2 linked regions of the Danio rerio genome follow. The protein of the gene in region 2 interacts with the protein of the main gene of each other region in a biochemical or structural test. Links are inferred from orthologs where the notes say so. Each region holds a gene or a part of one and is shown on either strand. Other genes may lie near its edges.

What was found. The genes of interacting proteins can lie anywhere in the genome.
Region 1: the proteins of rab11a (region 2) and rab11fip1a form a complex in vitro, tested with the Homo sapiens proteins (2 studies listed by BioGRID, with this or other methods). The link is inferred for Danio rerio from reciprocal best matches to the Homo sapiens genes RAB11A and RAB11FIP1.

What each region holds. Positions count from the first base shown.
Region 1 is NC_133183.1:44,885,624-44,890,621, reverse strand, and holds part of rab11fip1a (uncharacterized protein rab11fip1a), read left to right. Parts: intron 1-2,244; coding exon 2,245-2,663; intron 2,664-4,998. UniProt on the Homo sapiens protein: A Rab11 effector protein involved in the endosomal recycling process. Also involved in controlling membrane trafficking along the phagocytic pathway and in phagocytosis. Interaction with RAB14 may function in the process of neurite formation.
Region 2 is NC_133193.1:20,515,337-20,521,131, forward strand, and holds the start of rab11a (ras-related protein Rab-11A), read left to right. Parts: upstream 1-2,128; 5' UTR 2,129-2,248; coding exon 2,249-2,288; intron 2,289-5,416; coding exon 5,417-5,612; intron 5,613-5,795. UniProt on the Homo sapiens protein: The small GTPases Rab are key regulators of intracellular membrane trafficking, from the formation of transport vesicles to their fusion with membranes.

The sequences.
Region 1 (4,998 bases), on a different chromosome or scaffold from region 2:
TATAGATACTAAACTCCAGAATTCTTGGATTTGCCTGCAGCTTAGCTGAAAACAAGCTTATAACTGAGCAGAAATGAGGGACAAGCGCAGATTAAACATGACAATTTCCATTTGTGCCATTAGACTGCCTTGTGTGACTTCGTTCATTTACAGGTACAGGGTTCAACTCTCCTACTCCTATTCATATTTGTTTGAATTTTTATTTTCATAGTCAACATGTGTTTGGCCTCTATAAATTCTAATTACTGTTAGTAAATACTTAGTAGGGACTTTTTTTTGTGGTTACAGATATGGGATTAAGGAATACTGACTAAGGGCCTACTCACACTATGCCCGAAACTGAAAGCGATACGTGACTTTTAAGGGGTTGTTTCATATGGATTTATTAATCATTCTTACTGTTCAGTGATCGCAAACTGCCGTAGTTTATTAAAGACGCAATCCCCTCACTGCACGCCAGCTGCGCGCCTTCAGCAGACCTCCTTATTCCTGCAGCACGAGAGCTTTATGATTGTTTATGAGCGCCAACAGTGGCGGATCTGTCCGGTGAAATATCTGACTGCGTGTCACCGCATCCCTAAGGACTGTTTGGCAAAATATTTGACTGCATGTCAATGCATAACAAACGACTGAAACAATATAACTAGAGAAATCTCCACAGTGCTACTGGGTGAGAGCGTATGGCAAGCCGTTTTAGCATTTAAACCTTGTTCTGACTATCCATAAATATATTTAGAGATATCTCTAATTATATTTTGAGTAGTCATAATTCTAATTCGACTAGTTAGATTGGAGATATCTGCAAATATATTATGACTGATTAGTCATATTCCTCCATTGACTTCCATTGAAAAATATTTGCAGATATCTCTAAATAAGTTTTGACTAGTCACAATTGTAATTAGAGATATCTCCAAATGAATTTTGACTAGTCAAACATCCAATTCAAGATATCTACAACTATAATTCGACTATTTGTAAATTAATTAGAGATATCTTCAAATATATTTGTAAATATCTCTAAATATGACGAATTAAAGACATCTCCAAATGTATTATGACTAGTAAAAACTCCGTTAGAGATATCTCTAATTACAATTGTTACTAGTCAAAATTCATTTGGAGATATCTCTAATTACAATTGTGACTAGTCAAAACTCTTTTAGAGATATCTGCAAATATTTTTCAATAGAAGTCAATGGAGGAATATGACTAGTCACAATATATTTGCAGATATCTCCAATCTGATTTCGTACTAGTACAATTGTAATTGCAGATATCTCTAATTGTCATTCTGAGTAGTGGAATTATAATTATGACGCAAGCGTGCCGAGGCCCGATATGGTGTGAGCGCGGGCCGTCGGGGGAGACGGGGGAGAAAGCGTGCTTTACCCCGGTTCGAGGCAACTGTACCTAGTGTGAGTACGGCCTAAGGCATTGATATGTGCTTTTATATGTACTAATAAAATTATATTCATATTGCTACACACAGATATGCACATTTTTTTCCCCATATATCTGTATTTGTGTGCGTGGTTAGCGATATGAATATAATTTCACAAAATCACTTAAGTAATAAGTAAAATAAGTAGTAAGGAAATAATTCATTGTTTTACATTGACTGGGATGATTTTGTACGAAAGTGCATCTGCATAAAAATATAGACAAAATAAAAGAAACTTATTAAAGCAGAGATGAGTAACTAAAGCTAAACAAAATTAAATAAACAGCTCTAACGGTGTTGAGGTACAGACATTAAATAATCAACTGAAAAATAACACTACATAGTCTTTATTGTAAAAATAATGCTAAAAACTTTTAATAAATAGTAAAAAAAACAAGTTTAATTGAAGTGGAAAACTTTATAATGGTTTAAATTTGTCTGAAATCTTAGTCACAGGCCTTAAAGTCATCCAAAAACATATCACACCATTAGATTAGGGTTTAACTCTGACTTCACAATTTAGGCATTCTAAACTTTGGTTACTGGTTAATTATAATCCCCTATTTGCATTGCAAATCTTGCAATGTGACTGTTGCTGGTTTGCACAATATATTTTGCGGCCCGAATTTGTCATTTAGCCAGTGGCTATAACCTAAACTATTTATAAATTTTTTGTAGAATAATTGTAGTTAACAATTCTTATGTGTGATGATTAAAATCTTTAAACTAGCTAAAATAAATGGTCCTTCACAAGTTGTCTGCCACGCAATTTAATGAATACCATTTGTTTTTCTTTGAAGCTGGTACAAGCTGGTGGATAAGCATGGGAAGCAAGAGAAGGACCGTGGGGAAGTTATGCTGGACATTCAGTTCATGAGGAATAACATGACAGCCAGCATGTTTGACCTCTCCATGACAGAGAAGCCTCGCTCTGGAATCGCTAAGCTCAAGGATAAAATTCGTGGAAAGAAGAAAGACGGCCTGTCAGATTCTGCTTCTGCGATTGTGCCCTCATCAATGGAAACAGACAGCGAAGGAGAAGGAGAGGGCAGTTCAGACTCTCCAAAGAAGAAATCAAAGCTGAAATCCCTGTTTGGGCCAAAAACTAACCTCCAAAGGAATGTGTCTCAGTCCATGTCAACCCTCGGCACCCTACCTGAGAAGAACAGTTCACTTAGCAGCAGCAGATCATCAGGCCTTAATGTGGATTCTCCTGATGGTAAAATAAATGATTATGCATCTTGTTAAGAATACTTTATTTTTATTTATTTTTATTATTATTATTCTTAGGTGAGTTTTGTTATTGTAAGCTATTGAGTACTTATTGTAAGTACAAAGTAAAAAAACATTTAGGCCATGTGTAATTTGTAAAACATTCATTCTTAAATCATTTCAAAACGTTTTAATATAGATATTAAGGAGCATGTCACACTGTAGAATAGAGTAGTGGTTCTCAACCACGTTCCTGAAGGACCACCAGCACTGCATGTTTTGGGTGTCTCTTTTGTCTGTCACACCAATTTAAGGTCTTCAGTCTCTGCTAATAAGCTGATGATCTGAATCTGGCAAGTTTGCTTAAAGGTCCATGAACCCCCCTCTCTCAGCAAGGTGTTTTCACACCTCTTACTTTTGAAAAAGTAAGGAAAGTGGGTGTGTCCAGTTTTGCATGAAAAGGGGAGTCTCATTATGTGCAGGAGTTCTCTCCACCAGATTCCCTTCAGTCACATTATCTGGTTGATGACAGTGCGATCCACTGCTTTATCATTTTTACATTTTTAACCTTTCATGGCATCGTCAATCGGCCCAACCCTACACTGCACTGATTTTTTTGTGATCTTATTTGACTCTGTTGTAATCTTAGAATGATATCTGTTGTGAAAACATTGGTCTGGCACCCCACCTCTCTTTGCACTTCGGGTTCAGAGGACGGATGTAACTGTTGTACAACCGTTTAAAAAGACACAGAACAAAGCATTTTCAGTCTTTAATATTGTAGTAATATTACCTGGAAAAACTGGAATAAAGCATTTAACAGATTGTTTTAATGCACTCTTTTTTTTGATTAAACTTAATCACTAACATGTCAAAAACTTAAATGTTAAACATTAGCATACAAAAACAATACTATCAGTGCTTATTACAGGATTTAAATATACTTGCGGTGGTAGCTGGATTAAAACACACCATTTACCCACATAAATAGTTACCTATATGTGGCAAACAAAACATTACATTTTTTACAATACTTTAATTCATTATGACAATGTTATACACTGTTTACTTTCAATGGGTTAAAGTAAAAAAAAAAAAAAAAAAAAACTTACAAAAAGACATCCACTTTCTCTTACCTATTAAGGAGCCATGAGCACCACTGATTGTTATTTCTATGTTATAATTTGTTTAATAATGTTTATAACATTTAGAATAACATTTTTTTCTGCTTTATGTTTTTATTCTTAACTTATGTGTGCTTGAATAATAATAAAAAAGTATTTATAATTTATGTATTATTTTATGTATTTATTATTGTATCTGTTGATAAAGACTGATGGGATCAATACTAAGTAATGGCTGCTGACAACTGAAAATTGAGTAGTATTATATATTATGGTTAGTAAACCCTGTATAATATTGTAATAGATAAATGACAAATTCATAAAATAAATTAAATCCTCAAAATGTGCTGTTAGGTAAGAATCCTTGTAAGATATCACTATAAAAGCTATAATTGTGAGATAGCATTTTACTGTAGTCAGTTGAAAAATCACACAATTCCTAATTATAATAACAGAGCAATATATCACTTTACATCATCTTCCATTCACACAAAAAAATATTTACAGAAGTAAGGCGGAGTAGCCATAATATTTTTAAATCGGCATGGATCGGAAAGGTTTCATAACAGAAATTCATTAGGTTGAATAGAAGTTATCTCAATCAATTTGGACCAAAAGCCAACAAATATATTTTGCTTAGTTATGTAATTGCCTCCACAATAAATATTATTTTAACAATGTTAAACTCGTCATAAAAAAAGAGAAAATAATATGTTGAAAATAGTGTATACTGCTAGTTTTTTTGGACAACATTAAAGTATGTAGCTAAGAAATATATATAAAGAAATCCATTGGCCCAACGGGGCCATTAGATATAATCATTAGTGTTTAGCCCTGTATAAGCCTAAAATTTCATTCACAATGGTCTTTTAGGAAGGTTCCTAAAAAGTCTTACATTTGACTTGAAACCTGCAGAAACCCTGTTTATGGCTTTACAAGCAGAGGAATATGCATTTTAACTTCTTATGCATCAAAAATGCGCTCCAAACTTTTTCTTCATTGAGGCATGTTGAATTATTCTTCCATCATTTGGCCAAGTTTACAAATTGCATTGTTTCCGAATTAAAAAAAAAAAATTGTTTATTATTTTCTGCAAAGCTGCTTCTGATCATGATGTGTCCACACTAAATGGTTATAAGGGACGTGTTAAAGGGATTATATGCAACATCTTTCATTTATTCTTTTAGGAAAGGAGAAAGCTCTACTTAACGTACTTGG
Region 2 (5,795 bases):
TTCCAGCCAAAACCCAACACTGGGAAACACCCACACACTTTTGTATTCACACACATATGGCCAATATACTTATTCAGTTCACCTAGGGCGCATGTCTTTAGACTGTGGGGAAAACCAGAGCACTCAGAGGAAAGCCACACAAACACAGGGAGAATTTGCAAACTCCATTAAGAAGTGCCAACTGACCCAGCCAGGGCTCAAACCTGTGACCTTCTTGCTTCGAGGCGATCGTTCAACCCACTGTGCCACCATGCTGCTTATCTCTGAGCATAGTATAGCTATTTTAGAATGGTGGTCCCTTTTAAAGGGATAGTTCACACAAAAATTTCTTCATCATTTACTCAAATTCACATCAACAATTCATAGTTTTCCTTTCCCCTTTAACATATCGATTCTCAATATCGTTACTATCTGTGACATTGTTTTCTACAGTAGGAAGGAACATGAGCATTGTCTGATTAATAAGCAGCAAATAATTATGTCTGGGCAAAGGCGTTTATTTCCGTCAGCATTGTGGAGTGAATGTACCACTGAACTTGTATGTGGCTCATACCAACAATTTTCCTCCTGCTTTCACACACACAGCAGAATTCCTGCTATTTCCTGGTCATGTTACAACTTCTCATTGCAAAAAAAAAAAAAAAAAAGGAACACAATTTCTGGCATTTTAAAAGGGCCTGTTCACACATGATCTCTTTACTGCAATTTACCAGTACCAGAAAAAGATTGTATATGTAAAAGCGGCCATTAACATCCAAAACATGAGCTGTATATTGTACAATTAAAATGATAACAATTATTAAGTTATTCACCTAAAAATATGAGTAAATAAGAAAAAATAAGGCACAATAAAAAACTGTAAAATTTATAGTAAATGCTGTAGTATTGTACTGCAGTAAAATACTTGAATTACAATCGGTTTTGGTTACTCTATAGTTGCTCTTGTAACACGAAAAATATGCTAATATAAGCAAACGACACAAATACTGTAGTTTTCCACAACGATATGTTACATTATACTACAATACACCACCACAGTTTGCTGTATTAAAAAAAAATTATATTAAAGTATTTATGACAGTTTATCAGATGACAATTAACATTACAGCTTACTGAAGCATTCCCTATCTAAGTGTTGTAAATATTATAATATATACTGTTGAATATACTTTACTATAAAAGACTATGGAACAACGTAGTTTTTATTATATATTAATATAGTACTTTTTCACGTGGAATGAATTTATTACAAAATAGATACAAGTGAAAAAAATAAATAAATAAAATACGGCAAATAAGCAAATAAGCAAATAAGCGTGTTACAATGTAACTTAAATGAAACCAAATATTTTTCTCTCTTTATAGTATAAATTATGGAGTCAGATCAGTCTAAAAATACATTTACAAAATAGGATTCATACATGCATAGCACAATTCACATTTACAAAATCCAATTTGGATTTACACACAATTTGTGATTTTACAAGTAAACATCCTAATATTTTCGCCAAATGAATTGGATTTGTGTATATATGAATCGTGTTTTGAACTTAGGAATCGATTTGTGTATTTATGAATTGTGTGTTGAACTTACAAATTGGATTTGTGCAATTATTAATCATGTTTTGAACTTACTAACTGGATTTGTGTATTTATGAATCATGTTTTGAACTTACGAGCTGGATTTGTGCATTTATGAATCATGTTTTGAATTTAATAATTGAATTTGTGCATTTATAAATTGTGTTTTGAATTTGTGAATTTGATTTCTATTTATGAACTGTGTTTTTAATTTTATGAATTGGATTTATGTATTTACGAATTGTGTTTAGAACATACAAATTGGATTTTGTAAATGTGTATTGTTTTGTGAATATATGAATCATATTTTGTAAATGTATTATTTTTGAGACTGATCTGGCTCCATAATAAATTGGCTCAATTGAGACGGTGGTTCCTTACAAAAACATATGTCTTATACTTCATTATATAAAATGCCCTTGGTGAACAGAAATAATACACAATGAATAAAAATAATAAATAATCCTGCTTTTATTTTGACAGTCTGTAAGGGCCCTCACCCGGAACACTTGAGGAGATGTTCTCTGGTTCGCCTGCTCGCTAAGCCGTTAGCATGGCTACTGCCTAATCACAGACAGACTGCAGTGCCGCAGCGGAGAGGACAGCGACGGGTCGCCTCCACTTTCCTTCACATTCTTCCATTGTTTGCGCTTTTGTTTTGATCGAGATGGGGACACGAGACGACGAATACGACTACTTGTTTAAAGGTAAGTACGTAATACTTTTGTCGCGACTGTACAAGTTAAAGCGTCTCCGATCATCGTGGTTATTGTTAGTTAGTGTGGTTTTATATTAAACAGTAAAGGCCAGCTAACCGGCTAGCTCACTTCGAGCAGCCCAAACAAACTCCTGCTCTTCGGCTGGAGTAGCGTATTTGAGTCTGTATCGTTATATGTATAATATTATTTAGTTACTGTGCATTGGGTTAATATAGATGTTGGTTAGCATAAAAAACACAGTTTTCCAGAGATCCGACCACACCTTGAAGCGGCTAGCTGAAGTTAGCTGACACTGTCGCTGGATGAGTTTAACGGAGCAGGCGGAAATGGGAAACGGCCTGTATTCCCGAATGTTTTTTCAAGCCTGTGTGTCTTTGTTGTTTTTTTGGCCATAATATATTTTGATATACTTAAACCACCGTTCGCTGTCATTATATCTTAGTTCATATACTAAAACTGAACTGTGACCGACGCTGTCATGACGTTTAACATCTCCTTTTGTATTCCACCGAGATAAAAAACATCATATGACATTGAAGCAACTTGAACAACGAAGGAATTTCTTCAATTTGGATGAACTGTTCTTTTAAATAGATAATTATTTGTGTCAGTTTGTTGTCTTGGAAGTAAATACTAGATGTCAGGTGATGCGGCCTGTTTTTCTCGAATATGTTGCTCATCGTTTTTCTTTCATTAAGCAAATGTGGAGTTTCTATCATTTGGAATAAGCTCTTGAAACAATAAGTTTAGTCATATTTGCAGCACAGTTGACTCATTACGTATGTTTTCACTTCTGTGAGACACATGTAGTCATTTAAGAAGTTCTGTGCTGTCACGTGAATCGTAGTGATAGTAAACTAGCTACCTCTACCTGTCTTCACGTAAGCCCAGAACCACTCGGAAATCTCCACCAGTTTCTGTCATAACAAAATGTCAAAAAATGTCACCAAAAATGGTAATCTCACCCACATTGTGAAATAAATAAATATATATATATATTTTTTGCCATTTATTTAAATGTACTTCTCTCAAATGATGTTGTGTGGTGTGTTGTGACATAGAGCTCTGAGTGTGAAGAGGTTTGTTCCTTTATTTAATGTAGACAGAAGTGTTTGTGTAAAGAGTCATTTAACTTAAAAATTAAAATGTGGCAATCGTTTACTCACCCTCATGTCATTCAAACCAACATTTCCATTCATCTTTGAATTGAAAATAAATTTGACAGATCCCTTCACTGAAAGTCCATCTAATAAAAACTGACAATTTATGAAATTCATAAGTAGATCTGGCACGATAACCGTTTTCAAGGTAAACTGTGGTTCAGAAAAGGTTTTGAAACTGCCAAAATATTCTGCTATACCATTTAAGATATATTATATAAGATTTTTTTAAAACATTTTTTTTTTCGAAGATGCTCTTTTGATTCGTAAAGAAATCTGTGTTTTTGAAACTAACGAGTAAAGCAGAAGTCTGTCCGTGCCAATAGCCTAGTGGTGAAGTGTGCTGACATTGCACCATGGTGCTCATGTCGACCCGAGTTCAATTCCTGGCTCAAGGTCCTTTGCTGACCCTTCCCCTCTGCTCCCAATACTTTCCTGTCTGCAAACTTTACTGTCCTTTCAAATAAAAGTGAAAAAACCCTAAAAAATAACTATAAAAAAGGAATACAGCAGAAGTCAATGGCTGCCTCCGAAATCGCCTACTACTCAGTAGATACTGCATTTGAATTTAAATGTACTACTAAATCTGCTGTTTAAAAAGTATATTCTGTACAGTATGAATGGAACTCGGATGTACTACATACTCCATTTTGTCATGATTACGTGACCTACCTGTATAAGTTGCGTCGCTTCACTCTCATTCAAAAATTCTCCCACAGGGCATTATGAGATAGCACAGTGTGTATCGAATGCACAATTCTCGCATATACTGTTTTTTGAATTCTATGAATTTGGACACACTGGTCCGGTCTCATACTGTTTTAGCGTAATTTATGATATAGAAGTATAGACACATTTCGGACACAGCCAATGATCCATTTGAATTTAGCCTGACATGTTTACAGTTCCAAAATATTTTAAATATTTCTTAAAATAAAATGATGTATTGTGTTCAGAGGGGGAAAAGTTTTTGTTTTTTACCCAGACATTTAAAAAGAATATATTTTAGAGCAGTGATCACTATACTGTGAAACCGTGATGTTTTATCCAAGATTATCATACCACCAGAATCTTACACCAGCCCATGCCTGTTCATTAGCACTCTAAATTTATCAGGCTCTTAAATCCAGTGCTTTTGAAGAGAAGTTATTGTTTTATATGATGAACCCATTTTGATTGGTTGTCATATTTTAATACTGACGGACATGCATATTTAGAGTCAATCAAATATGGTAAACAAACTGTCAACATTTTGATAAAATTCTCATGTTTTACGTAGAAAGTTTTAAGTTGAATTTTGAAGCATATCAGAAGTCTTGTATGCTGAAAAATGACTATGTAAAATGTAGTTTCTTTTTTGAGTTTTTGCGCTCCAAAATTTGTTAAACAATGAATTGTATGTGTGGAATTAAGTAAAATTAGATTTTTTTTTATGCTCGCTTTTCTTGAAAACATGTAAATAGTTGATTTCCTATCACAGTTTCTCTATTGTTTGAGTGTGAATGTCATTTTGAGTAGAAAATGAACTGCAGATGTCATAAACTCAATTTATAATACCTGACAACAACAGCAATGAAATGGCAGTGTAAATTTACCTGGAAAACTGGAAAGTGCAAAATGCTCCAGGGTGTGTTGGGAACAACAGTTTCAGAAAGTTGATATTTATTGTTATTGCTTTCATATATATTTGGGAGTCACGACCAAAACAACAAAGGATTCAAAGAAAAATATACTTTTTAGAAATTTTATTGAGCAGTAATTTAGAATATTGATTTTCATTGCTGACTTTATTGTTTAATGTTTTTTTATGTTTTAGTATTTTCTTCATCACAGAATCGTTTATTTAATCAGTGTAGTAGTTTGGAAAGACACAAGGCTTGAGTAAATAATGTGAGAAGCCTAATTTGTTATGTGATCTATGTCAGATATTACACCATGTTGTGTTTTATTTTGAAGTGGTCCTAATTGGAGACTCTGGTGTGGGGAAGAGTAACCTGCTGTCTCGTTTCACTCGCAATGAATTCAACCTCGAGAGCAAAAGCACTATTGGAGTGGAGTTCGCCACACGTAGCATTCAGGTGGATGGAAAGACCGTCAAGGCTCAGATCTGGGACACGGCAGGACAGGAGCGCTACCGAGCCATCACTTCAGCGTAAGACTTATTACAGATTCCAGTTTTAAAGTTTAACTGCCTGTTCATAGCAAAGATCTCTATAGAAGTTATTTTAATCTTGTGATATTCCTCCAAAACACAACTTAAACACAATGGCAAAGACAAACAATATTGTACACTGATATAGTTAAGCATATTTGAGACTATAGATTAATTAACACC